2 linked regions of the Struthio camelus genome follow. The protein of the gene in region 1 purifies or fractionates together with the protein of each later gene. This does not show direct contact. Links are inferred from orthologs where the notes say so. Each region holds a gene or a part of one and is shown on either strand. Other genes may lie near its edges.

Region 1 (15,000 bases):
TGGATTTTATGGTAAGTCTTTATCCAAATGATTTCTGAATGATGGCTAATGTAATAAACAACTACCTTATCTTTCCCCTTGGACATCTGATTTTTGAATGCAGCACTACTTGTGGCTCTCCTAGAACCAGGTGGGAAACGGGCATAGTAAAACTGGAATGTTATAATTTGTTAACGTGATCCTTGCATTCATGAAGCGGAGCATGTTTTAGTCCAGTGGTTCGCTGTTGGACTTCTTGTGCCTAAAGTCAAAACCTAATCTGACAAAGTTCTAGCTTGCTTTTTTTCCCTCCAGCACCTGTATGTTCTTGTTTGGTTTTAGTACCCTATTTGATTTTTAGAGACAGAGAAAGATAATATATTTGTACAGAAAGTGCTTTCATATCTTTTAATGAAAAGTTCCAGGAGAAATCGTAATGTTGCTGTAATTCCTTTTGGGCTTCGCTATAGCTGAGAAACAACACAATGTGTAGAGTTTGCTATGGAAGCTATTTATTGTCAGCAACAGGCATGGGGGAAAATGCCACTGACTAGAAAGAAGCAGTAGGGCGACTGTTCCAAAAACCAACACCATTAAATTGCTTGGAAAGTTTTAGTTGTGTGAGGAAATCCTGCAAAATAAACCTGATAACACCTGAGGAAATTCGGCAGAATAACTAACACCTGCCACAGGGAACATGTAGACTGTAATATGCATTTTCTGGGATAATGTGGCAACAAGAACAAATAGAAGTGTTGACAAATGGCTTAAGGCTCCAAAGAAATACTTTTCTGCCAGGGCTATACAGTCCAGAATTGCTTACATCCAGTTTATAGCTACACGAATGTGGCATTAATTTACCATTGCCAAATTACTTTTTTTTTTTTGATTTCTTTCTGGTTTTATGAGAAATGGGAATAATTTGGTCTTGTTTTGCTTTCTAACTAAGCAAAGCTACTGTAAGTCTTATTTGTAGTCAGGAAAACTAAGTAGCCCAGATAGTTTCACAATTTTTGCCTTAAATCTCCAGTGTAAAATTCTGTAATACAAACATTCAGCTGGTCTGGAATGTCCCAGCCAGCTACTTGCAGGGAGCAGAGAAAACATCATAAGTCGTGTTGTGTGAGATCCTGTTTTCGCTCCAGCACCCCCTGTATTGCTCAAGGGAGTGAAGAATGTTAGCTATCTGAGTGTGCTTCCTACTAGTGGACCTAGGTGACAATAAGACAGACAGCTTCCCGCTGAGCATTTACTGGTGCTCCTGATAATGCTTTTTATTACACACTTGACTTTTCAAGTTCTGCTGTAAGTATTTGCCTCTGTTCTTATTATTTGAATTTCTTCTGATCCATTAAGAAGAAAAAAATTCTCTATTTAACAGATGAGTGCCAAACCAAATATGGAAATGCTAATGCTTGGAGATACTGTACCAAAGTCTTTGACATGCTCACAATAGCAGCTGTAAGTGTAAACGCTATATTTAAAAAGAATCTAAGTAGATTGTCTAAATGTGACCTCTTGAATTAGCGGCCTTTAAGGGTCACGCTGGTAGAGTTCTGAGTTGGATTGAAGTGCTGTGCGTTTGACACGCGTGCCTTTTTTCTCCAGTTAATAGATGAGCAGATTCTCTGTGTGCATGGTGGCCTGTCTCCAGACATCAAGACACTCGATCAAATTCGAACCATTGAACGTAATCAAGAAATTCCGCATAAAGGAGCCTTTTGTGACCTTGTCTGGTCTGATCCGGAAGATGTAGATACTTGGGCGATTAGTCCACGGGGAGCAGGCTGGCTGTTTGGTGCAAAGGTGACAAATGAGGTAATGATGCTATTGCACGCAGCATAAAGTAATTGTAGTTATGAGATAAATTAAGACGTTTAACTACAAGTTTGGTGTTTATCCTAGTGCTTAACAGATTGAGGACTGTGTGAGATGACTAACTTTCCTGCTAAGATAGCTCTGAGTAAGCTGTGTGCTGATGAAGAAGGTGCTTTTGCTTTATTGTTGCTAATTCAAACCAACTCGAAAAAATTGAGCCGTTTGAACTTTAAAAAAACAAAACAAAACAAAACCCTGCCAGATGAGATGATACTGATCTTGCGTTTTAAAAGTAGAATGCAGTGAGTGGGGGGGGTTGGACTTGCATGATCTTTAAAGGTCCCTTCCAAACTCAACCCTTCTCTGAGACTAACTAATTTTATTAGGCTTTGTGCAGAAATACCTCCCTAGAGATTTAGGAGAAAAAACACCACTGGAACATTTTTTTCCTAAAAATTCCTGACTTAATTTTTGTTACTTTTAGCGAAACAGTAAGCAGACTTCCCTAGGCTAAAATTTGTTGACCTTCTGAGGCTTCTGAACGAGCTGCGTTAGGAAAGCCTGATTCAGGGTATTCGTTGTCCTTTGTGGTCTTACTGCAGCATGTTCAGGAAAGTGTGAACGTTGTGGACACAACGCAGGCTTAGCCATCTCATCGGCGACTGGGTGTTTTTCAGTATGTTTTGAAAAGACGGGTCCCTTCATGGCACCATTAGCTTTAATAACACATTTAGATGACAGTGATGTGGCTAGGTCAACGTGACTGGCCGCGCTTCTGTGAAAACAAGGGGCTACTTCAGTTTGGTTCCTCTCAGAGATGTTGAAGCGGGAGCCTTGAAGTATCTTCTGTGCAGCTGAAACCTGGCAGGATTCTGGCAGAAAGCTTTTGGGGCAGGTTTGGGAGCAAACCTGTTGACCAGCTGCGATACGGGGTCTCGGGAGGGTGTTCTAAATGGGGAAGGCTGTTGTGTGGGTGATGATGTGCAGCTCTTCACAGAGAATATTTACACGCCTTTTTTTTTTTTTTCCCCCTCCTTTAAATTACAGTTTGTTCATATCAACAACTTAAAACTCATCTGCAGAGCACATCAGCTAGTGCACGAAGGCTATAAATTCATGTTTGATGAGAAATTGGTAACGGTATGGTCTGCACCAAATTACTGCTACCGTTGTGGAAATATTGCGTCAATCATGGTCTTTAAAGATGTAAATACAAGAGAACCAAAGCTATTCCGTGCAGTTCCAGATTCAGAACGTGTAATTCCTCCTAGAACAACTACACCCTATTTCCTTTGAGACCTTCCCCAGCCTGCCATTTCCCTGCTCCCTTGTAACTATCCCTTTACAATATACTTTTTATTGAGCACTTTGCTGCTGAAATGCTGCCTCTTGCCTTTTTTTATGTTTAAATTATCTAAATTTATTGTGTATTATGGTGTCTGTAGCAAGTTCCTTTTTCCTACCCTAGATTCATTTCAGAATATTTGTAATATGTCCTTGACATTTATACTACTGCATGTAGTTCTTACGTACTTCTGGGTTTAGATGAAACGTTTTCCTTTTAAAATCATAATACATTGGAACCAGGTCAGTCCTGTTGCATTACTCAGCTTTTTGTTTCGTAAGTTTTAAGAAATTTCAGCAGCAAAGTTACTATCCAGTGTGCACGATGGGGCTGCAAACGCGTTGTGTTGTGTGCACGTCCGAGACGTAGAACTGAATCGTCCTTGCTATATCTTGTTTTAAGTGGATACAAAATAAAGTGGTCGAAAGGGCTGCCCCCCACCCCCCCTTTTTTTTTTTTTTAAGACTTCGGTTAAAAATACACCAAGATCTGCTACAGCGATGGAATTTGTACATTAAAATAATTGTTCTGATTTTTTTCAGATACCTTGTATTTTTAATAAAGTCGTATCTTAAATGAAATCCACCTCTAGGTTAAATAGTGCCGATACAAGCCCCGCGTTGTGGCCGAGAGGGGGCGGCGGGCGGGCCCGGGCCGCGGTTCCGGTTCCGGCGGGAGCGGGTTGGGGTTCCGGTTCCGGTTCCGGCGGGGCGGCATGGCGCGCAGCACGCTCTCGTCCCGCTTCCGCCGCCTCGACATCGACGCCTACGACGAGAACCGCTTCGTGGAGGAGCCCGAGGAGGCGGCGGCGGCGGCGGCCGAGCCCGACGCGGGCCCCGAGGTGGAGGCGCTGCTGCGGCAATATCCTTGCGGGGCCCCGAGCGGGCGGCGGCCCTGGCCGGCGGGGCGGGGCAGAGCAGAGCGGGCTGCCCCGGTGCAGGCGGGTGCCCCGGGCCGGGCGGCTGCCCCCGCTGCAGGCGGGCTGCCCCGGTGCAGGCGGGTGCCCCCGGTGCAGGCGGGCTGCCCCCGCTGCAGGCAAGTGCCCCAGTCCAGGCAGGTGCCCCCAGTGCAAGTGGGTGCCCCCGGTCCAGGTGGGGCACCCCCGGTGCAGGCAGGCACCCTGGTGCAGGTGGGGGGGTGTCCCCCGGTGCAGGTAGGTGCCCCAGTCCAGGCAGGTGCCCCCGGTGCAAGTGGGTGCCCCCGGTCCAGGTGGGGCACCCCCGGTGCAGGCAGGTACCCCGGTGCAGGTGGGGGGGTGTCCCCCGCTGCAGGCAAGTGCCCCAGTCCAGGCAGGTGCCCCCAGTGCAAGTGGGTGCCCCCGGTCCAGGTGGGGCACCCCCGGTGCAGGCAGGCACCCTGGTGCAGGTGGGGGGGTGCCCCCCGGTGCAGGTAGGTGCCCCAGTCCAGGCAGGTGCCCCCAGTGCAAGTGGGTGCCCCCGGTCCAGGTAGGTGGCCTGGTGCAGGCGGGGGGCGCCCCCGGTGCAGGTAGGTGCCCCAGTCCAGGCAGGCACCCCCAGTGCAAGTGGGTGCCCCCGGTCCAGGTGGGGCACCCCCGGTGCTTGCAGGCACCCTGGTGCAGGTGGGGGGGTGCCCCCCGGTGCAGGTAGGTGCCCCAGTCCAGGCAGGTGCCCCCAGTGCAAGTGGGTGCCCCCGGTCCAGGTAGGTGGCCTGGTGCAGGCGGGGGGTGCCCCCGGTGCAGGTAGGTGCCCCAGTCCAGGCAGGCACCCCCAGTGCAAGTGGGTGCCCCCGGTCCAGGTGGGGCACCCCCGGTGCTTGCAGGCACCCTGGTGCAGGTGGGGGGGTGCCCCCCGGTGCAGGGAGGTGCCCCAGTCCAGGCAGGTGCCCCCAGTGCAAGTGCGTGCCCCCAGTCCAGGTGGGGCACCCCCGGTGCAGGCAGGTACCCCCGGTCCAGGTGGGGGGGTGCCCCCGGTCCAGGCAGGCACCTCCAGTGCAAGTGGGTGCCCCCGGTCCAGGTGGGGCACCCCCGGTGCTTGCAGGCACCCTGGTGCAGGTGGGGGGGGTGCCCCCCGGTGCAGGTAGGTGCCCCAGTCCAGGCAGGTGCCCCCAGTGCAAGTGGGCGCCCCCGGTCCAGGTGGGGCACCCCCGGTCCAGGTGGGGCACCCCCGGTGCAGGCAGGGCCCCCTGGTGCAGGTGGGTGCCCCAGTCCAGGCAGGCGCCCCCAGTGTAAGCGGGTGCTCCCGGTGCAGGTGGGGCACCCGTGGTGCAGGCAGGCGCCCCTGGTGCAGGCGGGGTTCCCGGCGAGGGCGAGCCGGAGCTCCCGAGGAGCTGCGCCTTGCCCGCGCCGCCCCGCTGCACCCCGGTAACAAAGTATTTGCGGCAGGGCTTATCGCGCGACTTAGCTGTAGCTGCGGACTGCTTCCCTGTGCTCTTGGTCTCCTTCTGTGGCACATCGGGCTGTTACCTGGTGTCCAGAAATCGTTCTTATAAAACACATCATTTATCATCTGTTATGGTATTCAAAGTTTGTATACAAGATTGTCGGTTGGGTTGGAGTGAGTTATGATGGTGCCAATAACCGACCGGCTCGAGTCCTTGACTTGCTGTGCTGCACAGGCGATACGCTCCGAGCTTTCCACACAGCCATAAGGAATTCTCCTGTTAACACCAAGAACCAGGCGATGAAGGTAAGCGGCACCTCTGCGCTTCCTGAAGCGGCTCTGTCACTGCCTCGCAGCAGGCACGCACCCACCCCTAGATTTCAGCAGCGGATCGTGGGGGCACTTCCAAATGGTTCAGCATTTCTCCAGAAATCTGATTAATACCTTAGTGCTGTTAATTAGTGATAGACTACAGCAATACGCTGTATTTTCTACACAGGCAATCGCTTTGTGTTCAGCTGCACCATCCATAGGCAGGCTCTTGAGCAATAATGCTGCTGCTTTTCGATGCAAATGGCCTGTTAGCTAGCCTGCGACAGCAGACTCGTAAATGAACGCAGGTCTGTGCTGCTCTTCTGCCCAGCTCTAACTGCCACAGGAGGGACACTGGAGCAGCTGATGCTTGTAAAGAAGAGGATGATGTTCTTGGGATAAACCAAAGTTTCCTTACTCAGAAAAGCAATTGATGGAGTTAGTGAGCACATACCTGAAGCAGTGTTTGCATGTGGATTTTGCAATATGCTTTTAAAACAAGGAATTTGGCCTTGCACTGTTGAATTTGTTACAGCTCAGCAGATGATTCTGCAATCCCTTTCAGTTAGCCCTTCCGAGAAAGAAGCATGAAAAAAATCCACTTTTAAAAAGATGTACCCACCCTTCTCGCTACTAAAACTTAAAGTGCAAAATGTTAACCTGCTTGGTTACAACAAATAAATAGACCAACTTTTTAATGTAGTGGTCTTCTGAGCATACTTTTGTCAAACACAGGTCTTTGATACAGTTCCAGCTTTGCTGGCTCTAATGGTTTTTTGTTTTTTTGTTTTTTTGTTTTTGTGGTCTTTGCAGGAACAGGCCCAGGGAACCATGCTTAAAGTCCTCACATCTTTTAAAAGCAGTGAAATAGAACAAGCAGTGAACTCCTTAGACAGAAATGGCATTGACTTGTTAATGAAGTACATTTATAAAGGATTTGAAAAGCCAACAGAAAATAGCAGTGCAATATTACTTCAATGGCATGAAAAGGTAAGTTTCTTCTGGTGCTGTCCGGGCTCAGGCACCTTTCAAAAGGGTCGGTGTTAGTGCTTTCACTGGAGCCCCTCTTGTGTATGATGGCAGGGGATTCATCCCAGAGAAGCACAGTGCTTGGTAATTCCTTTCATTTTTGGTCTCTTTGCACTTGAATTCATTAAGCCTTTGCCTGAATTTCAAAGCTCGCCCTCAGCCAGGAGGAGAGGTGAGACTTGTGGGAGGGTCCGGTGACCGCCGGAGGAAGCTCTGCCACCTTGTTCTGAGTGTAATGAGGGCAACGGTTTCCCACCAAGGAAAAAGAACTGGGAGTGGAGATGTGATTGTGTGAACCCTGGAGCTGGCAGTGTTTCTTTGTAGTTGAGTATTTGGTTAATGGCATGCTCGGGAAGCGTAGGTCTGGCAAGAGTTTTCCACAGTTAAGTGCCTATAGCAGCATACATGTCCCAACTTAGTAAGAGGACTGAGCAAACCTGTTTAGTTTGCACAATAAAGGCTTTTGAGATCTCTGAAGAGATTCCACTTGGATCCAGGGCAGTCCCCTCTAGTTTCTGTTGAATGACCGTTTTGAGATATGAGGGGGTGAGATGTGTTTAGCAGCTCTTGAACGTTCTCACTCTGTGTCATGGGATGAGGCGCATGAAACAACTCTTCTGTGCTGCTCTCCCCAGGTAGAAACCCGTGCGAAATGACTGACATCTTCCCCAGCTGCCTAGGTTTTAAGTGCTGCACAGGCTTTCAGTGGTCCTCTTAGAAGAAACAATCCTTAAGAACTCTGCAGTTCAGTGTACCCTCTGCATTGTAGCAGTACGGCCAGCTATTAATGGCTATGTCATTTGCAAAAATTGCTTTTTCTGAGATATGTAAAAACCGAAATTGTGTTTGCAACAGTGGCTCCAGCTATTAGCAACTGTCACTTGCTTTGCAGATTGTTTAGCAGGGGAGGAGGAGAAAATACATTATCAGGACAGCAAGGAACATGTTTCTGCTTGACTCTTCCCCACCCCCTCAATGGAGACTGTTTTCTGGTAACTGTGGGCTGGTGCTCCACAGTATATAAAATTACTCAATATTCTGCCTTGACTAGGAAAAAGTTAGTGTTTAGAGCGTGTAGGCACATGCAGAATATCTCTTCCTCATTTTGAAAGGAACAAGGCAGGTCTGAAGTAGGCTGGGCCGTGTTCTTAAATGAAAGCTTTCCTCGTGTTCTCCTTTCTGGCGTTACTGCTAAGAAATGTGACTTGCTCAGGGAGGCGTCTGCGGTTCGGCAGTAGCCTCTGTCCATCCTGGAGACGGAGTTCTGCCTGTGGAAAAGGCCCGTTTGTCATCCCTATGTAAAGCAGGTCTCATAACTCAGGCACATCATGTGCAAGCTCTGATTCTGAGTGGATGCTTTACATCCATCTATGTTCTAATGACAGCAAGGTGTCTGATACTGTTGATTGTTTTTCTCCTTTCATAAGTTGCAATAGCCACTTGGCTGCGTTTGAATTGTGCCTGCAAAGTAAACGTGCTGTTTTAAGCAGCTTCAGTATTACTCATTTTGTCATAATTAAGTCAATCTTCTAGACTTTAGAAGGATACACATTATTTACGTTGAGGGATGCAAACCAAACCGAAATGAGCCTTTCCCCATTCGGGGATATGGGAAGGGAGACAGATTCTGTATTTTCAGTAATGCATGTGACATGAGTATCTTCCACAAGAACCAAAAGATGGTTTGTTAGATTTTGGGCAGTGTACGTTTCCTTGTGGTTTTAGTGGTATATGGGTTGTTATTTTTATTTCTGCAATTGGTTGTGTCTACCCTTCAGACCCTTGGTTCTTGTGTCACTGAGTACGTTTACAGACTGTCACGATATATGCAGCGCAGTAACGCGAGTCAAAGATCACTTTCATCTGTATTTACAGAGAGGGAGCAAGGCACATGCTTTCCAAGATCGTGGGAGGAGATAGGAACAAGCAGGATCTGAATTCAGCCCTGATCTCCCCAATCAGCCTTTTTAACTGTCACGCTAAATCGTTTAGAGAACACACAACGAAGAGGAATAACTGTGTGACCGCTACCACAGGAAGTTAAAGGTGGCAGCAATGTAAAAGGCACCTGCACAGACCTGAAGAGGCGGAACAGCTTGTAAACCACGTTTCCTGTTCTGCTGGCAGCAATTAGCACAAAGAATTGCTTTGTGGTCTTGGCTAGCATAAGTTAACTGATACATACTAATGCTTTGCGTGATGGAGCAATCGTACCATGAGAACAACTGATGTCTGGCCTTGCAGGCTACTATGAGTTTTATCATGGAAACCTGACACTGCAAGATAGGGTTTAGTGCCTAAATGATACTGTTTAAAATGTCTTTAACCTCAGCATGTGCTAGAGAAAATGAATAGATTTTTCCTAAGGAACCGTTGTCAAATCTTGAATTTGACAGCAAAAAAGGGTAGAACAAGAAGAAAAGCCCAAGATGGCTATGTGTGAAAAACAAGTTTTTGGAGAAGAGACACTTACTTCTCTGTTACTAAGCACAAAACTGTTTGTTCTTCTAAGATGCCTTTTGTGTGCACTGCAGCAACTGTGTGTAACACCTATCTCCTTTTCCCCTCCCCACAGGCATTAGCAGTAGGTGGACTAGGTTCCATAGTAAGAGTTCTTACAGCAAGAAAGACTGTTTAAAAGACTATTAACTTGCACCAAGACGACGATCAGTTCTGGACCCAGAAGAAGGAACTAGCTGAAATGACACTGGTCCATCTTTACAGAGATTGCAGTCTGCTGAAATACTATGGAAACCTCTTCTTGGAATGCTTTTAACTTCAAAGGTGGGGGAAGAGTAAACATTATTCCTGTATGCTCTATCAAATACAGGAGCCAAGATATTATCCTGATCCCTTCTTCTTTAAAAGGCAGAGAAAAGGTGAACTCCTGCCCCCCCATTACTGTAAGTGAACAGGTATTTTCAGATGCTGCTTTATCAGAGCGTGGTGATACAAGATCCTGTGTGTACTGCTTATTTAAGAGGTAGCTATGTCGTTTGCAGATGCAAGATTCTGACCGCTTAAAGGTAGGAGAAGTGTTTGTTAGAAAGAGGGGATGGTCAAAGGACTAGCTGGACTGTGGGGCTGGTTTCATTGTAAAGTGCCTGCTGCATTAATAAAGTTCTTGGATCACACGAGTTAAGTAATTTATTTTTAGCGAACCTGTACGCCTGCAATTGATTCAAAAGCAGACCAGCAATATACCAGTTCTAAGCCAAGTGCCCGCCTCTGCAGAAGTGATCTTCGATATGCTTGCTCTAGGAAGCGAGATCAAGCCCAATTGTTCACTGCACTTTAGAAGCCTTGGAATATAGTACATAATTACTAATGATTTGATTTTATACTCTTGCTCATGCTAGGAAGTCAAGAAAATACTTCAAAACTTGTTAACCTATTTATATGTTAGTTTATCCTCATCTCTAAAGGACTATTTGACAGCATAGTAAGAAGCTTCCTTTGAATGAGTACGTGCAGGTGTTTTATCCTTGATTTGCCCAGACAGAACAGCACAACTACTCACATCGTCATTGTTTCCAACTCAAGTTACAGCACCTAGGTAAGAGTCTTCAGTTTCTACAGCGTCTCTCTAGGGGCTCATTTTACACTGTGCATATGGAGTCTGACAGGGTATCTGTTGGGAAAGAGACTGAGCCTCGCTTCCTTTTGTCACAAACAAGTGTGCTCCAAGTGAAGCAGCTGTTAAGGGAGGCTGTATTCCACTTGGTCTTTGTTTTTATCAGCTGCTAAAAGTGCAGCAACAGCTGTCCCTGGTGGGAGACAGCTTCAGGAGGCAGAAGCACTCTGCCTCATTCCTGGCCTAATCCCCTATGAGAAATAGGGGCCTTAATTATATGGTTGACACACCCATTCTTACCATAGACAGGGAGATGGGTTTTGTTTCATTCTTTAACATTTCTCTGCATTTTAAATAGCTATAGCATCCCCATGGAGATAAGCAGAACTATAAAGAGAAAGAAATCAAGATTAGAGTTTTAATCAAAAATGTATTGCACCACAAATTTCATAGTGTTTCATAATAGAATCCATATTTACAGCATAGAAGGAAAGAAATCCAATGGCCATAGAAACGATTATGTATACCATTGTTTTTATACAAGGTAAAAGTGCATTAGCTTTTTAATATACGTATACACACCATTCTTGCTCTGATATATAAAGAAAAATCAACACTTAACTAATTTATGGGAAGTTGATCCTGTAAGAGCTTGGGGATCTTAAATTGAAATTGTGTTAGTAAACAAATATTCTGAGATTTATGTATTTCTTCCAAGTCCCCTGCACTGCTTTCCTTACTGTTCAGCAGTAACCTTTCAAGCCAGGATCAACTTAAACCGATTAGTCATTCAGCAGGCATCAGCAAGAGTAGATGAAATTCTGTCCCTTGTTCCCGGGTCCCCTCAGATGTAGGGCAGGGCCAAGGGGATGTTACAAAGACAGACCTTAGGGAACAAAATCTGGGCCCTTCCCAGAACCCACAGGGTTCCCCTGCCCCCACTTGGTTTCAGTATAGGAGCACTTCAAACAAATCTACTTTTTGATTGTCTGTTTTCATGTTAAAGCCGAGCTGTACTCTTCCCATAAACTTCCCTATTCTATGCAATTAAGTGCTATGACTCAGTTTACTAAAGACTGTGTTTGACAAGCTTTAGTATACTGAAAAATCGTGTTGTCTCGCTTCAATTTAAATAAATGTACCCTAGCTACAAACTAAGGAGTGTCACTTTTGTCACAGTAATCGCTACCGTGAGTATCTAGGCTACTTAATTTGGTGAGGTCAGCTAGGATATAGATTTGCAGCACATTTACTACTCTGGTAACTGACCTCATGCAGAAGGCTACTTTCATCTTTACAACAGCACAAGTGTGCGCAGGGGCAGGAAGCAGCTCACGTGCTGTGACTCTCACGCTGTAGCTTACTGCCACCACCACCACCGTCATTTATAGCAAAGCTAAGCTAAAACCCTGAACAGTGACCGTATCTCCACCAGAGTACAGGTTGAATTTTCTTGAAGATATTTAATAAAAATAGTGTTAGTAACACAAACCGCATTGTAAGAGAATTGCCAGAATTGGAGCCTGTTCACTGAATGCCATACCTATGTAATTTTTTAAAAATACATCCAATTTTTTAAGAAGTCAGATGAAAATGGGAAGCAACAATCAGTCTATTTTCTGGTTAGTCATTAAGGGCAAAATTCTGCTCTCAATCCTTGAGGCAAGTCCCAGCTTGGTCCCCTTTTCCTAAGGTAGAAGTAGGCAGGCTACTTGGATTCATAAGTAAGATTCATTGACTATTTCAATTTTGCTCTCAAAAAACAAACAAACAAACAAACAAAAAAAAAAACCTCATAAGCAGCATTCCTTTTACCATGTAGTTAGGACACAGTTAACAGCCCACTAGATGCCCGTAACAGCTCTTTTAAGCGTCAGTATCTGAAGTACATAAAATCACAACCAAAGAGGCAGATACTGGTTATGAAGATCTGGTTGAACATCTGCTGCTAGCAAACTTGCACAGGGAAAAAAAAAAAAAAAAACCCAAAACAAAGTGTTCAGTACCAATATTCTTCACCCTTTGTCACTAGAGGGTTTTTTGTTTGGTTTTGGTTTTTGTTTTTTTAAAATAAAAGGTATTTTCAGTGTGCATTTACAATACCTGGAATTCAGCTTTAAAAATTTAAAATGGTTTACTATCCCCTCTTCCCCACATTAACAACCTATGGTACAGACTAGCAGATTAGTTTTAAAGGCGACTGAGTATTAGGTACTATAATTAAGACCATTTTAAATATTATTTTTCTTTAAGAAAAGTAAAATCAGACAACTCTAAAGTTGTGCTCTCAAATTAAATAAACATCATCAACATGCAGCCTTCAGGACTGCAGGCCAGGATATATGCACCTTAAATTACACAGTGATATGAAAAAATGCAAACTATTAGTTATGTCAGTATAACAAGGCAAGGCAGTTTTTTTTTTTTTCTTTTTTGGTTAAAGCTCCGGCTCCTGTTCTTCGAAAGGCTTTTCAAACTGCCAGGAATCCAACAGTACTGCCAATATTCTTTCCATTGCTTGCTTTCCACAGTGAGACAAGGAAGCTTTACTGTAGCTAGAGTTATTCAACTCTGGCATTTCATAACAGAAGTTGGAATCACCATCATAACAGATGCAAATGTTAGAAGCTTGAACTGCCAGCACCAATGTTAGTGAGGTTAACGTTACCCTTTGGTGCCAAGAAACAAGACCGATGAGCACAAGGAGCTGACTTCCATTAAGAGACCATCGAGACGACAGTCCCTGGATCCAACCCAAGAAAGATGTTTCAGTTTGTGGTGAAAATTTCTCCTTGCACAGTATTACTTTTGTAAACAGTATCAAAGTTCTTGTACAAAATACTGCAATGACAGTGATTAAGACACACCTGAATTAGTGTGTTGAGTGTTCTTTTCACAGAAAATAAGTGGCTAGATGCTGACTGCCTGTTTTCAGGTTCCCTTAAGACCATGGTGTCCTTGGGCTTGAGATAGATGGCCGGATACTGCCTTTAGGAGATGGCTTTGACCCAAACCACGACATCTGGGACGGGAAAGCACAATACACATTAGGCTAGGTTCCCACTTTTAGGAAAAAGTGAAAATTTGAAAAATAATGTAGTACACATACATCTCCCCATCATTGGATGGGGACAAATTTTTATAAAACATACAACACTGCAAAATTCAGACTAAGAAGGTTTCACACAGTCAAATCTGGAAGAAACAGCATCCTGTTTCTGTAAGTCAAGAACACTGAAGATAACATTTAGGAATATTCCTTCAAAATAATTATAAGTTACAGTCATTTAATGACAGTACCTTTTGCCAGTCTAGCATGACAAGTTCCCTGAGCGAGATGGCAAGGAATTCTTCCTCTCTTTCACTTGTGTATACCGAACACGTTTAACTTACTGAGCGGGCAGAGAGAAACGCAGAGCGTCTAAGGAACTGAAGCAGCACTCATTGATGAACGTTCACTAATAACCACCAACCCAGCGGCGTGCAGAAGATGATCTTATTTTATACAGTGGAAAGTAGAAACAGATCAAGTGCCCAAGCCCAATGTGAAATGACAAAGCCATGAATCCAGTATCCTACTCTTCAACCTTAGACTGTCATAGCAAAGAGCTTCTGGCTTCACACCTGAGTCCACTGGGCAATACTGTGCTGCTTTTCTGAAGCACTGAAAAGTTACACTACATTTACCTTACTGCACTGAAAAGTCACACTACATTTACCTTACTGAAATAGGCGATTTCCATCATGCATACATGTGATTAGTGCACGCTTGAACATGAGATGATCTTTATTATTGTTGCTAAAGTTTGGAAAAGATACTTTACATGGTCTCCCAGCATTTAATAGTTTTCATTCCTCTTACTGGGAATCTACAAGTAGAACAGAACCCTTACCTTGTATTCCAAGGTTTCTTTAAGCATATTTTCTTCCTCTTGTGAAAAATTCAGTAACACAGACACAGCTTTAATTAGATGGAATGCCTGAAAGAAACCCCAGCAGTTGGTTAGTTATGATGCCCTCAGTCTCTAAATTCTGGATTATGGTGCAGCACAGATTTTCTGTAGGTTTGGTCATAGGCTTTTTAGTTACAACTGTGAGGAGCAGAGCAGGAGTCTTCCATAAATCTCCAATTCCAATAGAAAGGGATGCTGTGCATGCTGTGTCTTCTGTTTGTGTTTACTGGCTTTCTGTTCTTTAACAGTGGTTTGCATAGGGACGATAAATTGGGCAGCCCAGTGTATTAGAACAGAGAAGAAGCCTTGCTTCTACGGCACCCCCGGCCCCCTTTTTTTAAAAGGGTCTGAAGATTTGATCAAGCCAGCATGCAGCCATTTTAAATATACACTCAAGTGTATTAACTCTTTAGTACTAGCATTTTAAATAGGACATATCATGCAGAGACACTAGAGCAGTCAAGCACTCAGGATACTGTGGAACTGCACATCTATTTCTTGATCTTACCTACTGTCTGATTTGCAATTAAGCAAAGTATACTGCTGGCATGACTTTTTTACCTGTAACTTCCTTGACACTGAATGTGGAGAACGCAAAGGAGGTCTAAATGCACAAGGAATTAGTTCTTAGATATCAACAGCAAGTAGTTT
Region 2 (15,153 bases), on another chromosome or scaffold:
TATCGCTCCAAGTTTCAATTTTCTCTCAGTAAGTCGTTTGCTCAGACACTGTGCATTAGGATAAAACTCTCACAGTGAGAGCTATTAAATCAATTAAGGAAGCAAAGAAGATGCTTTGGCACAAGATGCAGAAAGAAATACCAGTTCTACTGGAAGCAAAACATATACCTAATAAAATACCACATGATTTGGTTTGTTTTCCTTTTCACAAGAACAGACAACGTCCAGAAGATGAGATCAGCTTTAGAATACACTCATAACCACTTGTGAAGACTTTCATACAAAACAGGGATTCTTTTCTAAACCCCTACAATTGTATTCAAGTCTAAAGTATAACATAGTTTTCCAAAACATAACTTTCAAGATTATTTACTTTCTTAAAATTCAGCCACATAGATACAAATGCAGCAATGAGCAAAGTAGAATTTTAAACACACTGCAACAATTTCATTAATTCTAATTTCATTTCTTATTATCATACTAATGTCAGAGGTTTTTTCTGTGCTAGCTTTTTTTACTAGCTTTCTGCAGGAACAGATCACTGCGTAGCAGCTCATAATCTGAGCATCGCTCCTGTCAATGTAACTGCTTATGCACAGAAAGACAACCGTATCTCCATCTTTCAGACAAAGGGGAAAACCATCTATTCCACCATAAATGCTTTAGATAGGATGCACAACACAAGCTACTTTAGAAAGAAGATCAGAAAGGGCAAGGTGATCACTGTCTTCTGAATAAAAGCTGACCAACCAGCAGATCTGCGATTCTCTCATTCTTTCTGCTAGGCTGCCCTTACGAACAGCACATCATAAGAATCACACACAACTGCCCCTTCAACACTTGCCTCCACAGTAGAGAACCCGAAGAGGATAGTCAGCATCTGACCTGGCACCGCTCCTCACATCTCCTTTGCAGTCAGGGACCACAGGCTCAGCTACATCTGTAGCCATCTCACAAGCCTGCAGGTCACAGAAGGAAATAATCGTGGCTTAAGTTTGGATTTAAAATTATTCACTCCTTTCCCAACACATAACAAAAAATCCCAGAGATTGGAAGAACTAAAAAGACAGAAAAAAGGTGCAAACAAAAGAACAGCAGGATAATGAGGGAAGGAGAAACAGGAGACCAGAAATAATGAAAAAACATACAGAAGATGGTTGCAAAAGATACGAAGCAGTAAGGAAACCCAGCACATAAAGGAAAAAAACGAAGCACCAGGAAATGCAATGGAAAAAGAAGAAAGATGTTTGTGCATAAAACATGGGAGCCACCAATATGGGTTAAGCAAAACGTTAAGTATCACATTAAGTCAATGGCAGGTGAACAGTGGGTGCTCTGGAGGGGTGAAGGTACAAGTTCATCAGCAAGGAACAGCTGTCATTTAAATCAGCATCTGAAGAATCTAAATCTGGTGCTTGGATGCTGGCAAAAAATAAATAAAAATTTTTAACAAAGCAAACCAAGCACAACCCACTAACACACGCAATAACTCTTTACATGCATGCAGTTTCCAGGTAAGCAGCACGGAAAATAAGCGTCAACAGACAACAATGAAGGGGGCTGCAAGGCACAGGGTGCCCCCAGGAACATGAGAGCAGGCTGGAGGTATGGAAGACTCGGAGCCAGGATGCTGTAAGAGCTGTGCCTGGGCATCGCACAGAGCTGGTGGAAAACACCAGGTTGCCAGAGGTTATGGGGTCCACAGGAAGGGGAGCACAAGGAAAGACTGCAGAGGATCACTGCTAGCAATAGAAAGCATGGTGGGGGACCAAGGGAGATGATAAATGGGGGAGGAAGGGTGCTGTGGGGATGAGGGGTAACAGTGAGGGGAGCTGGGGGAAGGCGAGAGGGTACTGAGGCACCGCACAGGGTGAGGGTCGCAGCGAGGGAACAGGGCGGGAGAAGGGGCCAGAGCCGGGGAGACGGAGGATGCTGGATACCAGAGGTGGGGGCAGGCTCACCGCGAGAGGAGGGCAGGGGGGCTCGGGGCTGAAGGAAAGGGAGATGCTGGAGAGGCTGCGGCGGGCCGGGAGGGAGGGAGGGTGCCGGGGGACAGGAGGTGAGGGGTGCTCAGAGTGCGGCGCAAGGAGGGTGCTGAGGCGCCGGGGGAGGGCTGTCGGAGCGCAGCGAGGGCGCTGAGGCGCCGCGGCGGGTGTCGGAGGGGAGGGACGGTGCCGGGGCAGGGCGGCCGCCCGCAGGAAGGGGCCGGGGAGCGCGGGGCTGGCGAGCGGCGCGGCGTTACCCGGGCGGCCCCTCAGGCCGCGGCGGCGGGACGAAGGCGGCGGCGGCGGCAGCCACACAGCGCGCGGCACGTGCGCCCTGCCCAGCGCCGCCGCCTCTCGCGAGAGCCGCGCACCGCGGGAGCGCGACCGGAGAGAGCGGAGCCTGGCGCTATGCGGTGGGAGGCGGGGCGTGTTTTGAGCCTTCTGGCGTTCCGTAGCTGAGGGGATGGAGGGTGGGTGTACGCTAAGCAGGAGCACGTGACGGGGAGCGCTACGGGGCGGCGGAGCGGTCAGCCGCTGCCGCTTCGCCGTGGCGCGGAGCCGGGAGGCCGCCCGCCGCCATGCCTCGCTACGCGCAGCTGGTGATGGGCCCGGCGGGCAGCGGGAAGGTGAGGCAGGGCTGGGGCGGCGGTGCGGTGCGGTGCGGTGCGGTGCTGGCGGCCCCTGACCCTGTGCGTGTGCCTTGCAGAGCACCTACTGCTCCACCATGGTGCAGCACTGCGAGGCGCTGGGCCGCGTCGTGCAGGTGGTCAACCTGGACCCGGCCGCGGAGTTCTTCAGCTACCCCGTCATGGCAGGTGAGCCGCGGGGGGCCGGGGCCCTGCGCCTCGGGGGGAGCCCCGGGGGGCGGGCAGGGTACGGCCGGGGCCCTCTGCCGGAGGGGGAGTCCTGGGGGGTGGGCCGAGCCCAGGGGTAGCTCTGATCTGACTGTAGAGGCGGGGTGCGCCTTACACTAAACGTAAACTATAACATTTTGTATGTATTTATAATAATTCGTGTGTGTGTATATATATGAATACATATGCACACGCGTCAAATATATATGTTGATGCTTACGGCCAGGCAATGTAGTAAGTGAATAACAGGCTGTGCTGTCACTGCAGTTTAACACACGCTTCCCTACCTCAGTACAGCATGAAGACACTCGACGCAGGAAAGCAGAGTGAGGTTTCTGGAGCGTAAACAGCATCTGAGCTGTCTGTCAGTTCTTCCTTATGCTTTCTAAGACCTAGGTTTCAAACAAGAGTTCTTGTAAGGCTTGAGCGTGTTACGGTAACCGGCCTCTGCATACTAGTGTAAACAAACGTGCTAGAAACGTATTGTGTGTCTTGTTCCAGACATCCGCGAGTTAATAGAAGTGGACGATGTTATGGAAGATGATTCCTTAAGGTTTGGTCCCAATGGCGGCTTGGTGTTTTGTATGGAATACTTTGCCAATAACTTTAACTGGCTAGAAGAAAGCCTTGGTCATGTGGAGGATGACTATATATTGTTTGATTGCCCAGGTAAAGAAATATATGTATCTTAGTATCATACTTAAATATCATATTTCATATGCAGTATAAAATTTACAATATATTTTTGCTGGTCACAATCATTTGTACGTTTTTTATGTTGTAAACAGCTGTCAGAGTCACTTTCAGATGTTTCAGGAGGGAACTTGGTCCTGGTTAATTTGGATGGCTGCACAGATTTTTGACAGCATCATGTGCTGTGAGAATACGACAGCCACTGTTAACGCTAACTGGAGGTCAAGGGAGGAAAAGAAAATCTTTCTTCTTCTATCCCTCCAGTATAAGTTCATGCAAATTCAGTCAGAGTTGTCTGAAAAGAAAGATCATGCTTTTTGTAACAGGTTTTATTCATTTGAAGAATAATGCCCACACTTATATAATTGATAACTGTGAACTAACATATGCTTTTTTTATGTGTTAGCTTTACATTTCTGCATAGTAATATTCTGTCCTAGGTCAGATTGAACTCTACACACATTTACCAGTGATGAAACAGCTGGTGGAGCAGCTTCAGCAGTGGGAATTCCGTGTCTGTGGAGTTTTTCTTGTTGATTCTCAATTTATGGTGGAATCTTTTAAGGTATCCGTTTGAAATATATTGTAAAAATTCATATTAGTAGAGAACAAGAAATCTGAGTAATTTTAAGGAGCTAGTTCTGTTTAGTCTGAAGAAGAGAATGCTAATTGGGGGCGGGTGGGATCTGATGGCTGTTGTCACCTGCCTAGTGAGCCGTTATGGAGAAGAAGATCGAGCCATATCCTTCTTGAAGATGCGCAGCAAAAGGATGAGAGGCAATAGACACAAGTGGCAGGAAGGGAAATTCCAGTTGGATAGGAGGAAAAAAATCTGCACTGTGAGAGTGGTCAGACTGGAACAGGGGCCCACAGAGATTGTGTAATGTATGTTCCTGGAGTTAATTCAAAACTCACCTGCATGAGATCCTAAGCAACCCGATCTGACCTTGCAGTTGGCCCTGATATGGATCAGATGATGTCTAAACGTGCCTTCCAAACCAAATTGTTCTGTGATTCTATAAAACTTTCTCAGATCTGGAAAGAGAGCATGCCCCTTTCCCAGTCTAGCAATGAGAATCCTGAGAAGGGCTTTGAGTTTTGTTAGATGTCCTTCCCAGTGGCAGATCCAGATTTGAAACTCTGGAAATAGATGGCAAATGGGAACTTTAGCCTCTCCCTTTTCCAACAGAGATAATGACTCCTCACTTGGCCTTGTGTCCATGTTTCATATATTCAGTAGCTAGTTTTGGTTTGTGGTCGTGTCCTGCATGTTTGTGTTGTGTTTGTCTGTACTTAAGTATGTCATTTTTCATATTCCTTTAAGTTTATCTCTGGAATTCTGGCAGCACTGAGTGCAATGATATCTTTAGAGATTCCACAGATCAACATCATGACCAAAATGGATTTGCTGAGCAAGAAAGCTAAGAAGGAAATAGAGAAGTAAGTTCCCCAAATATTTGTTGTATAGCCTAACATCTGGTGATAAACGTCGCTCAAAATTCAGTCTACTGTTTCCCACAATTAAAATCTACTCTTTTGGAATGGGAAAAGATGCAGTTGTTTTATATTGAACACAGTCTTTACATGTCTAGGATAGGATGCTTACAACTTAGTCACAGAGTCAAAAGGCTAGCTCTATGCATATACATATTTATCTTTTTCTCTAAATAATTATTTTCTGTTAAATCATTATCTAAAAGCACAATGACTTACTTGTTCTTTAGCAAAGGATTCTTTTGATGTCAATGAAGACTTTTTTTTTTTCTCCCAGGTACTTAGATCCAGATATGTATTCCATGATTGAAGACTCTACAAATATATTAAAAAGCAAAATGTTTAAGAAACTGACTAAATCTATATGTGGTTTGGTAGGTGTATTGCTTTTCGTTCTAACTGATATTCTTAAATTCAGTCCTGTATTTATAAACAACACTATATGGCTACTGCCTTCTTTGCTGTTATAGATATTCTGTATACTATAAAAAAAATTCCCTAAAACTGTATATTTACATAACAGACTTGATAACAGCACCAGGCTTTACAAGATTAGCAACTTTGGAGAACAGGATTATCTAATGTATAGGACTTAGGACTGACGGGCAGATGTTTTCATTGGGGAATTGCCTCTGGTTTGCAGTGTGGTTTTAAATAGTATGTTGGGAGTCCAGGCAAGGAAGATGTAGTTTGGTTTAAAGAAGTAGCTTAGAGTGCTATGAGTGTAAAAGAACTAACTTGCTGCACGCTCTTACTAATGTCTTTTAAACGTTTTCTCTAGATTGATGACTATGGTATGGTTCGATTTTTACCGTTTGATCGCTCTGACGAGGAAAGTATGAACATAGTTCTGCAGCACATAGACTTTACCATTCAGTATGGAGAAGATCTTGAATTTAAAGAACCAAAGGTAAGGTCCTTCTGATGATACGATGAAAAACTTAAAAGCTTCCATAATACAAGTCATAATATAAATGTATTTTGACTTGTTTAAAAAATGTATAGAGCCTGTGTGTTGTATGTAAACTATAGATTAGGAATAAGTTATGTCATGTACAATACAATGACACCATGACTCGTGTCTTAAAACGAGTTCCAGGCCCTATCTAGTTTGATTATTCAGATCATAAATCCTAAGGAACAAATTCAATACTTTATTTATTTATTTATTTTCAGTTCAGTTTTGTACTTGTGGAATATGCAAAATCCCTGGGTCTAGATTTTGACCCATACAGTTTGGATAGCTCTAGAAACAGATTGCTTTCCAGAAAGTTTTGCCACTCGTTTTATGGAATCATATTAGACATTTTCCTTTTTTTTTTTTTTATAACTAAAATGCCAGAGGACAGATAAATTATTACAGCTCCTTGGGGGGAAACAGTTAAGTTTTACTTTTTTTGTTTTCTCTCTGGCAGGAATATGAAGAAGATAAATCTGCTCTTGTTGATGAATATTTTCAAGATCATGTGGATGAGTAAAGCACATACATTCAAAAACAAGGGGAAATATCGTGGTTGTTAAATATTTAAAGTATCATGTTTGTGTAGTTTGTTTTTTATCTGTAAGATAACTAAAATTTCTAATGAAAAGTGATCCTGTATGACCTCATAATTATTTTAATAAATAATTTCATTCTTATGTCTGTGTGCTATAAAATATGTACGTATGTATTACTGCTGCTGTATGCAAGTTCCCCACATATAGTTGTCTCATTTAAGTATAGGAACGTTTGGGAAAAGTCAGTCATTTGCAGAAGAGGCACAGTCAAATACAAATAATTTACAATAAATATTTATCTCTAGTACGGGGTAGTTTGTTCTATTATTAGATGAGCGAAAAACTTGTTTTAAAGGGTGAGTAATGTACTTCATTAACTGAATCTGCGGTGGGGAAAGAGATAACTGGCAGCTACAAAAGGAAAACTGATCAGTAGCTGGACTCTTGACCTTCTTGAAGAAGATGAGTATTTTACGTTCACTTTGGTGGAGCCCATATTTTAAGCCTCCTTTTTTAGGCTGTTTTTGTACAACTCGCATGTGGCTTTAAGCGGTTTTTACATTGATAACATCTTAAACAGTGAAACATTTAAAATAAATAAAATCAGCTTAAATAGAAATCAGTGCTGTTCTTGTACAGTTGCTGCAGAAAGTGTGTTACTGAATGAAGAATTCAGTAACTAATAAGGTAAGTAGCTGCTTTTTTAGCTCTGAATAGAGAACTTGTACACCTACTATGACCTATATAGTAGAATGTGCGTTGGTTTCACAGAGAAGCAACATTTAAGCACTTTATCTTGGAAGAACATATTTACTGAAGTAACTAAGTACAAGTAAAAATAATCCTAAGAGCTGTCGTCCCATGCCATCTGATCAAATGCAAAGGTACCTCAGTCCTGCATGTGCACCCCCCCCCATGGGTATTTGTGTGCTCAGCCTTGCCAGTTTTATGAATTCTAGAACAAATCTCATAATATTCAGCATTCTTAAAACCTTGCCTCCCAGAGCCAGACAATTATGAGAGCTGAGACCTCAGTTTTGTGAGAGTTATCACGGTCACCAGAAAGAGCTGAAAAATTTAGCTCTTCAAGGCTTAAAAGCATGACGCAAAACCCCGGAGTATATGTATGTATATAAATAATTATTGTGGAGGTTAACTTCATTATGTGGGGAGTCTTTTTATGCCTGCCTGTAGCTAATCACATCACTGGGTGCTTTATGCCTGATCTATGCCTTGCATTCAGCAACAGATAGCCAGTGACTGATGCAAGTTTGCCAGTGCAAACCTGAATGCAGACATGGACAGTTTTGAGTTGTACTGGCTGAACTAAACCATGCAAATACTGGGGAAGCTTTGGCGGCTTAGCTAACTTCCAAGCTTGCACATCCTCGGGGATGGCAAGCCCGGGGAGGGCTACCAAGATGATTAGGGGACTGGAGCAGCTCACCTATGAAGAAAGACTGCGAGAGCTGGGCCTGTTCAGCCTGGAGAAGAGAAGACTGAGAGGCGATCTGATCAACGTGTATAAGTATCTGAAGGGGGAGTGTCAAGAGGACGAGGCCAGTCTCTTCTCCGTGGTGCCCAGCAACAGGACAAGAGGCAACGGGCAGAAACTGAACCACAGGAAGTTCCATCTGAACCTGAGAAAAAACTTCTTCACTGGGAGGGTGACAGAGCATTGGAACAGGTTGCCCAGAGAGGTAGTGGAGTCTCCTTCCCTGGAGATATTCAAAACCCGTCTGGACGTGATCCTGGGCAATATGCTCTAGAGGTCCCTGCTTGAGCAGGGGGGTTGGACTAGATGATCTCCAGAGGTCCCTTCCAACCTAAACGATTTTGTGATTCTGTGATCCTTGGGATGAGTCATGCTTGTGGAGCGTTGAAGGAGAAACCTAACTCCTACAGTTGGATTACTTTGACTCAGTTTCCGCATCTCCCCGTTTTTTCTCCCTGACTCATGCAATGATGTTATGCTCAGTCATTTGCCTGGGGACAAATGAGGGTCCCTGGGTCACAGGGGAGGTTATGGTTAGGATTTTAACAGAGGAGTGGAGAGTTCAGTGAGGCTCTGAAAACAGTATATCCTTCCAGACTGCCCACCCAACACAGTAGCCCCAATTGTTTGCTTCCTTATACCCAGTGCAACAGCAAGTGCTCACAGACCAGTCTGGCAGGCTACACTTTGCAAGTCAGGTCACAGCAAGAGATGCACAGGAGTGCTGCACATCAAACACTCAACGGAGAACTGGCTGCAAGCAAAGGGCCCCAATCTGGTGCACCGCGCTCTCTGTGCTCTTGTCACGCTCTGATCCTCGCTGGGGAAAGAAGCTTGCCTCTGTCAGCAAGGAAGCGTGATCTCACAGCTGCTTGAAAGAAGACAGCACAGAGGGATTGAGAGGGCTTTACTTGCAGCGCCAGCCAATGCAAAGGGAGAGGGAGGGGAGAAACATGACTCCAGAGGGCAAGAGCAAACAAATCCCCCAACAGGGTGTGATTTCAAAGCATATTCTCCTGCCTGTCTGTGTTTCTGCAGCGAGCGGTGCAGAAACTCTCTGGGCGGTGCGAGTTGCAGGCCTCCGCTCTGGCTTCCCTTCCTTGCACCGCCTCCGCTGCCTCATTTCCTGCAGCGCAGGCAGAAGAGGAAGGTTTCCTGCAAGCTTCTCAGTGCTCCCCTCCTGCCCGGCCCTGCCAAATTGCATCCTGCCCTTCGAGATGCCGGTGAGGGGGATCCGCTGCACTCACACCGGAGTGCTGTGTGCTTGGCCTGCCCCAGCTGCTGGGAGAGAGGGCAGGAGGGCTTGGGGGAGAGCGGGCAGGCCTGAGAGGGCGGATGCTGCCCACTGCTGGGGGTCACAGGGCTGGGGTAGGGGGAAACAGGCTTTGCTGTTGGGGTGTGACTATGGGCAGCTGCGTTCAGGAGAGATGGGCTATAGCTGCCGGGAGCCTCGCTGGGAAAGGGCAGTTGCAGTTTATGGGAGGCTGCTGCGAGGCTAGTATGCTCCTCTTCCTCTTCCTCCTGTGAAGGATCCTGCCTGCGTCTCTGGGTGCAGCTAGCTGTGTTTCTGCAGTAAGGAGGGTGGCAGTCCCTCCCAGCTACACCTCTGGGCACTCCCAGCTAGCTCCACTGAGGAAGATGGCATTAAAGCTGTGCTTTGCTATGGTTTAGTTCATACCATCTTCCTCATGTTGAAATAAACTGCTTTCCTGTTAGGTGCTGCCTACCCTGTTGCTGCCCCTCAATTGCACTTCCCTGCTTCCCAGACCCCCTGCAAAATGACTGCTGCGATGAGATGAAGGCTTTCTAGTGCCCTGGAACTGCACTGTGTAAATGTCTGGAAGGCGCCTTCAATTAAACTTGTTATTTTTTAAAAATCTGTTTCCCAGGAATAATCTTGTCATTCACACAAGGGTCTTCTTTGTTTTGTTCTGTTCTTTCACTGACAAATACCAGTTTTAAAGTGCATGAGCCGGTCTGTTTTGGTACTTTGTGGATATACAATAAGTCTGGATTTGTTTATTCCTATCTACTATTATTAGCTAGACATGGAATAAAATATAACCTTTTTTTAAAGGACCAAGTAATTAGAAAAAAAATTAATTTTCCCTCATACACTTCTATAATGGTAAGCCCCATAACTAAGGCAGGAGAACAGGGCTGTTACCACCTCAGAGCTGTGCCAAGGGGGCTTAGAGAGCCTGAAGGTGAAGCAAATGCATATAGATCTACCATACCAGTTTTTTATCATATCTTCCACCACTGCTACCATAAACGGTGTCTGTGATGATTCTTTTATGGCCTTCACAATGTTGTTGAGAGCTAGGCCTAATGTGAAAACAGCAATCGTTTGTGCAAGGTAAGATTGCTAGAAGCATCACTAACTAAACTCTGAATCCTATTTGATGGACACCCAGGAGACACTTCAGAACCGCTTATGTTGCCACGAGGACATTGAAATGCCTATTTTCAGTAACATTCATAACTAGCCTTCCGCTCTGTCCATAGGCTTACCATTCAACTTTAATGGACTCTGATACCAAGTTAATTGGGAACATGGCACTGTTACCCATCAGAAGCCAGTTCAAAGGCCCAGCACCTCGGGAAAGTAAGTTTACAGTAATCTCTGAACATTTGTTTTCATATTGCTTGTAATCATGTCACAGTTTGTTCATAGCCAGCTCTAGCATTGCTCTGGTATAGTGGGTGTCTCAAGTACATGCTTTTTATCAATGTCCCCGGGCAGATGGGATTGAGAAAATTATGGCCAAGACTTAACCAGGCGTTTTAGATCTTGATTCTCAGAGTGAAGAGAGAAGCCATGGTTTAGAAATGGAGTGCTTTTCAGTTGGTAGAGGAGGAAAAACGCTCTTAAATGGTTAAGTGCTGCAAACCAGGAAAAATAATTACCATACAGCAGTTATCTGGGAAAACTGTGCCCCCTACTCCCAAATTCTCTTACTTTAGAAATAAAAAAAAAAAAAAAAGTACAGTTACTATTTTCATGCTTCCTTCTCGGGTGCTCTACAATCAAGTTTTACTGTGGTTTTCAGTAGGCTTTGAGGAGGACTTGTAACTGATGTGAACCTTCTGACATAAGAGGAAGTAGAGGTTGAGCTAAAGAGAACTAGCACTTTGGGGACTGAGGCTTGAGAGTCACTGCTGCGCTGAAGGATGAGGAGTAAGATAGAGAGCGCTTTAGGGTACGCAACTTCATAAGTTGAAACTTAAGTTCCGAGCATCCGGAGTCCACTGAAGAGTTTTACAGGTAGTCTGAAATGGATTCCGCTTCAGCACTTCAAGTAGCACTTCCCAGGCACATCTCACAGTAGGGTGGTGTTTCAGTTTGAAAAGGGAAACATTTCTGGATGTAGGCAGTCTTATGTTTTAGCAAAAGAAGGTGAAAAGTGCATATGAGCTTGTGTGACTATATATTGTCCCCTGCTTTTTTCAAAGAGGATAATGAAGAAGTTTGGTTGTGGGGGTGTACTTTCTCCAAAAATATTTGTCTGCCCTCAGAAGACTTTTATGCTGTTAAATTACTCGACTGGTAGTAGGAAACAGTGTGGAATTGCTGAATTGTTGCCCTTTGTAAAGTGAGAAGCCATGGGGGGAAGGAGGAGAAGGGAATTAAAACTCCTGCTAAAAGTAGGAAGCGTAAATATTAAGGTCCGAATTCGCCAGTCTTCCACACTGCAATGGTTAGAGCATACTGGTGTTTTCTGCTTTTTGTTAATAGCAAGATATTGTCTTTGCAAGAATCCTTGTTTATGTACTTTAGTGAATGAAAGCTATGACTGAATGTAGTATGCTGGTCCACTGCTTAACTCTCCGTTTCTTGTTTCTGTTAGCTAAGGACACAGATATTATAGATGAAGCCATCTACTACTTCAAAGCCAATGTTTTCTTCAAAAATTATGAAATTAAGGTAATTTTTGGAGATACTGTACATTCAGAAACTCTTTGGAGATTTGGTCCTGTGCATATAAATTTATTCGCAATACAATAGTTCTACCAGTTAACAAAAACACCTCTTCCTCTCACTTAATTTTTCAAGTTGGGTAAATGTCTTGAATTGCTAATTCCCCTCTTGTGAGGAAACTGTAGGCCAAAAATGGCTTGAACTCATTCCTATTGTAAACTTTTATCAGCTCCATAAAGTCTGCCTTACTCTAACAGTGCTTGAGGACCGTGCTTACTTTTGCTTTGCAGAATGAGGCTGACAGAACATTGATCTACATAACTCTGTACATTTCTGAGTGCTTGAAAAAGCTGCAGAAGGTAAGAGAACAGCTCTTTGAGTGAAGGAGGGAAACTGAATCTGTTCTGGAGATTGCACTTAGGAGAACGTTTGCTGATGTTCTCCCCCTAGTGGCATAAATAATACTGTTCACCTCAGTCCCAGTTGTCAGATCCACCGATATTCCAAGGCTGAGGACTGCCAAAAAAGATGGGACATTGCGATCCTTGATTAATCCTTATATGTTACAGATTGATTCAAATATTTGGGTCTAATGCTCCAAAAGCTTTTGTTTATATCTTTTAATCATTTGCCTGGTTCTTCCAGTGTAACTCCAAAGGCCAAGGAGAGAAAGAAATGTACACGTTAGGAATCACTAACTTCCCAATCCCTGGGGAGCCTGGCTTTCCACTTAATGCCATCTATGCCAAACCTGCCAACAAGCAGGAGGAAGGTAAGAATAAAAAAAGACCTCTGAAGGCTTGCTTTGGCCTGGTGTTTACCAGCTGCATCTTTGTGGCTATGACTAGAAACTGCATCTTCTAGACATACTGCAGACAAACTGCATCTTCCATACAACTGCATCTTCTAGATCCGTAGTTCTGTCTTTGAGTGCACCATAACCCAGATTTTCTGACCTCAGGGGCCCAGTGACTCCCCTGGATCTATAGATCCAACAGAACCAAGTAATGGGGAGTGAGTCTGCCTCTTACATCAACGTAATTGCTAGCTAAATCCTGTAACTGAGCCCAAGCCAACTGCTGTGCTGGCAGAACAATAGGAAGCCCACAACAATAAGCAAAGGTATCTGAAAAAGGAAATTCATCCTTAGTAAAGATGACCATCTTTACTGATACAGATATCATAACAATCCCAAGTATGGCTGTAAATTGAATAAACAGACTCAAGGCAGCCTGTGAGTGTCTGCAGATGGGCAAAGTTGCACTTTCTGCTTTAAGCAGTAGTATCTAATGCTTCCCCGTTAAATTCAATTTGACTTGCTGCTGCCTCGGTTTACACCCTATTTTTTGCTTGTGCTGTGTTTCAGAGGTGATGAGGGCCTACTTGCAGCAGCTGAGACAAGAAACAGGCCTTCGGCTCTGCGAAAAAGTATTTGATCCTCAAAGTGACAAGCCTAGTAAGGTGAGAGTTCAGCGTGATAGTCACAGAATTAATGAGAGACTTGGTTTGTCCTTCCAGAAACGTGTGGGGAGAAGTAGGACGGTGGGGTGATGGGGTGACATGCGAGTAACTTTGCAGCAAGCTTCTCTGGTTTTACAAGGCTAGTGAAATAGCAGACTGCAATTTAGTAGTAAATTTAATTTGTAACGTGCAAAAACAGCAAATGCCATTTTAGGTTATTTCAAAAAGCAGGGAGGTAGTAAGTGTGTCTGGTTAAATTGTTTAAAATATTGCCTGCCAGTTATTGGCTGAGGATTCTTTAAGTTTTTAGACAGAAATTCTCAGGCATGAAAGATACTGCTCATCTTTCCAGTGGGTTCTGATTTGATGACTTCTTTGAAGTATACCTGTCTGCTTCATATCCAGATTAAAAAAAGAGACAATCAATGCATAAATTACCTGCTGTCTGTGCATATGTTTCATGTGTAAATGTGACTGCATTTAACGTTAAAATTAGTCAGGCTAACTTCATTTCAAAAGGATAGCTTGCTGATGCACCCCTTCTGTTCATTCTTACATTGGAACAAATAGTAGAAAGTTGAATGTCCCACTTTGATGTCTGCAGCCCTGTATTATAAATCCTTATTATGACCTGAAATTGCAGTAGAAACCAGCGCGGAAAACTGCATGTGCAAAACTGGATCCTTAACATTTGCCATTTGTCAGAAGTTGAACACTTGGAAGCTCTCATTTTGTTTATCTCAAGGAAGCTACCGTTGCATGTCTTTTGATTTTGTACTTCCTTTTCTAGTGGTGGATCTGCTTTGTGAAGAGACAGTTCATGAACAAGAGTCTGTCAGGTCCAGGGCAGTGAAGAAGCAAAGCAGCAACAAAGTTAAGCATTTCCACAAGGTGTATAAAGTATTTTGCCTTTATTTCGGATACATTTTGTACCATGGAAGAATTAAGTGCTTAATGAAGGAGGAAAAAAAAATCCATGCGCAAAAGAGAGAGAGAGAGAGAGAGAGAGAGAGAGAGAGAGAGAAAACATCATTTGAGTACTGTAAACAAGTATTATTAAGCTGGTGCTTAATAAATGATTTCTAACATGCTGTTTGAGATGCAGGCTGCTTTATTATCAGTGGCTACAGCTAGCATTTAAAAACAGGCCTTCTGTCTAAAGAGAGGAGATGTGTAGGGGGCTATATAATTGCTCTACTGGCTAGAGTTTTGCTATCACCTGTCCCTGGAAAACATTCCTCTTGTGCTATGTTGTTAAGTGCAGTGTTTTTTACCTTTTTTTTTTCTCAATAAACCTAGCTTGTAATTATTGTGGTAACTGCTTTATGTCTTCAAAGAAATCAAAGTTTTGTCTTTGTGAAAAGGCCTTCATTACTGCATAATGGGAAAGTAAACAACAGGAAGTGAATCATTCCTGTTGAAACCAGGATTCATACCAGGGCTGTAGTCTGCAGCACATGGTTCTTTAACAGGTCTTCCTTTGCAGAACACCACTCTATTGTAGAAAAACTCCTTCAAAGGGTATGGTAAACAGATTACATACAACTTAGTCCAAGGCTGCCTTTGTGATGGCAGGTTCAGTCAAATACGACCATAGCACGATCCTGGCAAAAACTCTGAGTTTGTTTGTTTTGATCACTCAGTTGACTGAAAAATCTGAGTGAATCTGAGTTCAGTGTATTCTCCTGAGTTGTTACTTTCCTTCACGGTAACACTTGTTTCACTTTCTCCACAGAGTACTAACACACTTGT

What was found.
Region 2: the proteins of ARPC5L (region 1) and ARPC3 purify together in Homo sapiens (affinity purification with mass spectrometry; 7 studies listed by BioGRID and IntAct, counting the BioPlex papers as one, with this or other methods). This does not show direct contact. The link is inferred for Struthio camelus from reciprocal best matches to the Homo sapiens genes ARPC5L and ARPC3.

Annotation. Positions count from the first base shown.
Region 1 is NC_090961.1:1,255,631-1,270,630, forward strand, and holds ARPC5L (actin-related protein 2/3 complex subunit 5-like protein), read left to right. Parts: upstream 1-3,805; 5' UTR 3,806-3,857; coding exon 3,858-3,983; coding exon of another isoform or gene 3,984-4,003; intron 4,004-5,625; coding exon 5,626-5,787; intron 5,788-6,606; coding exon 6,607-6,783; intron 6,784-9,397; coding exon 9,398-9,460; 3' UTR 9,461-9,959; downstream 9,960-15,000. Other genes in the region: PPP6C (serine/threonine-protein phosphatase 6 catalytic subunit), read left to right, coding at 1-11, 1,361-1,440, 1,588-1,797, 2,845-3,093; GOLGA1 (golgin subfamily A member 1), read right to left, coding at 13,338-13,418, 14,290-14,376. UniProt on the Homo sapiens protein: May function as component of the Arp2/3 complex which is involved in regulation of actin polymerization and together with an activating nucleation-promoting factor (NPF) mediates the formation of branched actin networks.
Region 2 is NC_090958.1:17,138,295-17,153,447, forward strand, and holds ARPC3 (actin-related protein 2/3 complex subunit 3), read left to right. Parts: upstream 1-8,695; 5' UTR 8,696-8,944; coding exon 8,945-9,241; intron 9,242-10,526; coding exon 10,527-10,626; intron 10,627-11,869; coding exon 11,870-11,946; intron 11,947-12,230; coding exon 12,231-12,299; intron 12,300-12,585; coding exon 12,586-12,712; intron 12,713-13,306; coding exon 13,307-13,401; intron 13,402-14,191; coding exon 14,192-14,254; 3' UTR 14,255-14,711; downstream 14,712-15,153. Other genes in the region: DENR (density-regulated protein), read right to left, coding at 845-950; GPN3 (GPN-loop GTPase 3), read left to right, coding at 2,564-2,611, 2,692-2,800, 3,341-3,508, 3,973-4,097, 4,857-4,972, 5,304-5,400, 5,808-5,936, 6,442-6,504. UniProt on the Homo sapiens protein: Component of the Arp2/3 complex, a multiprotein complex that mediates actin polymerization upon stimulation by nucleation-promoting factor (NPF).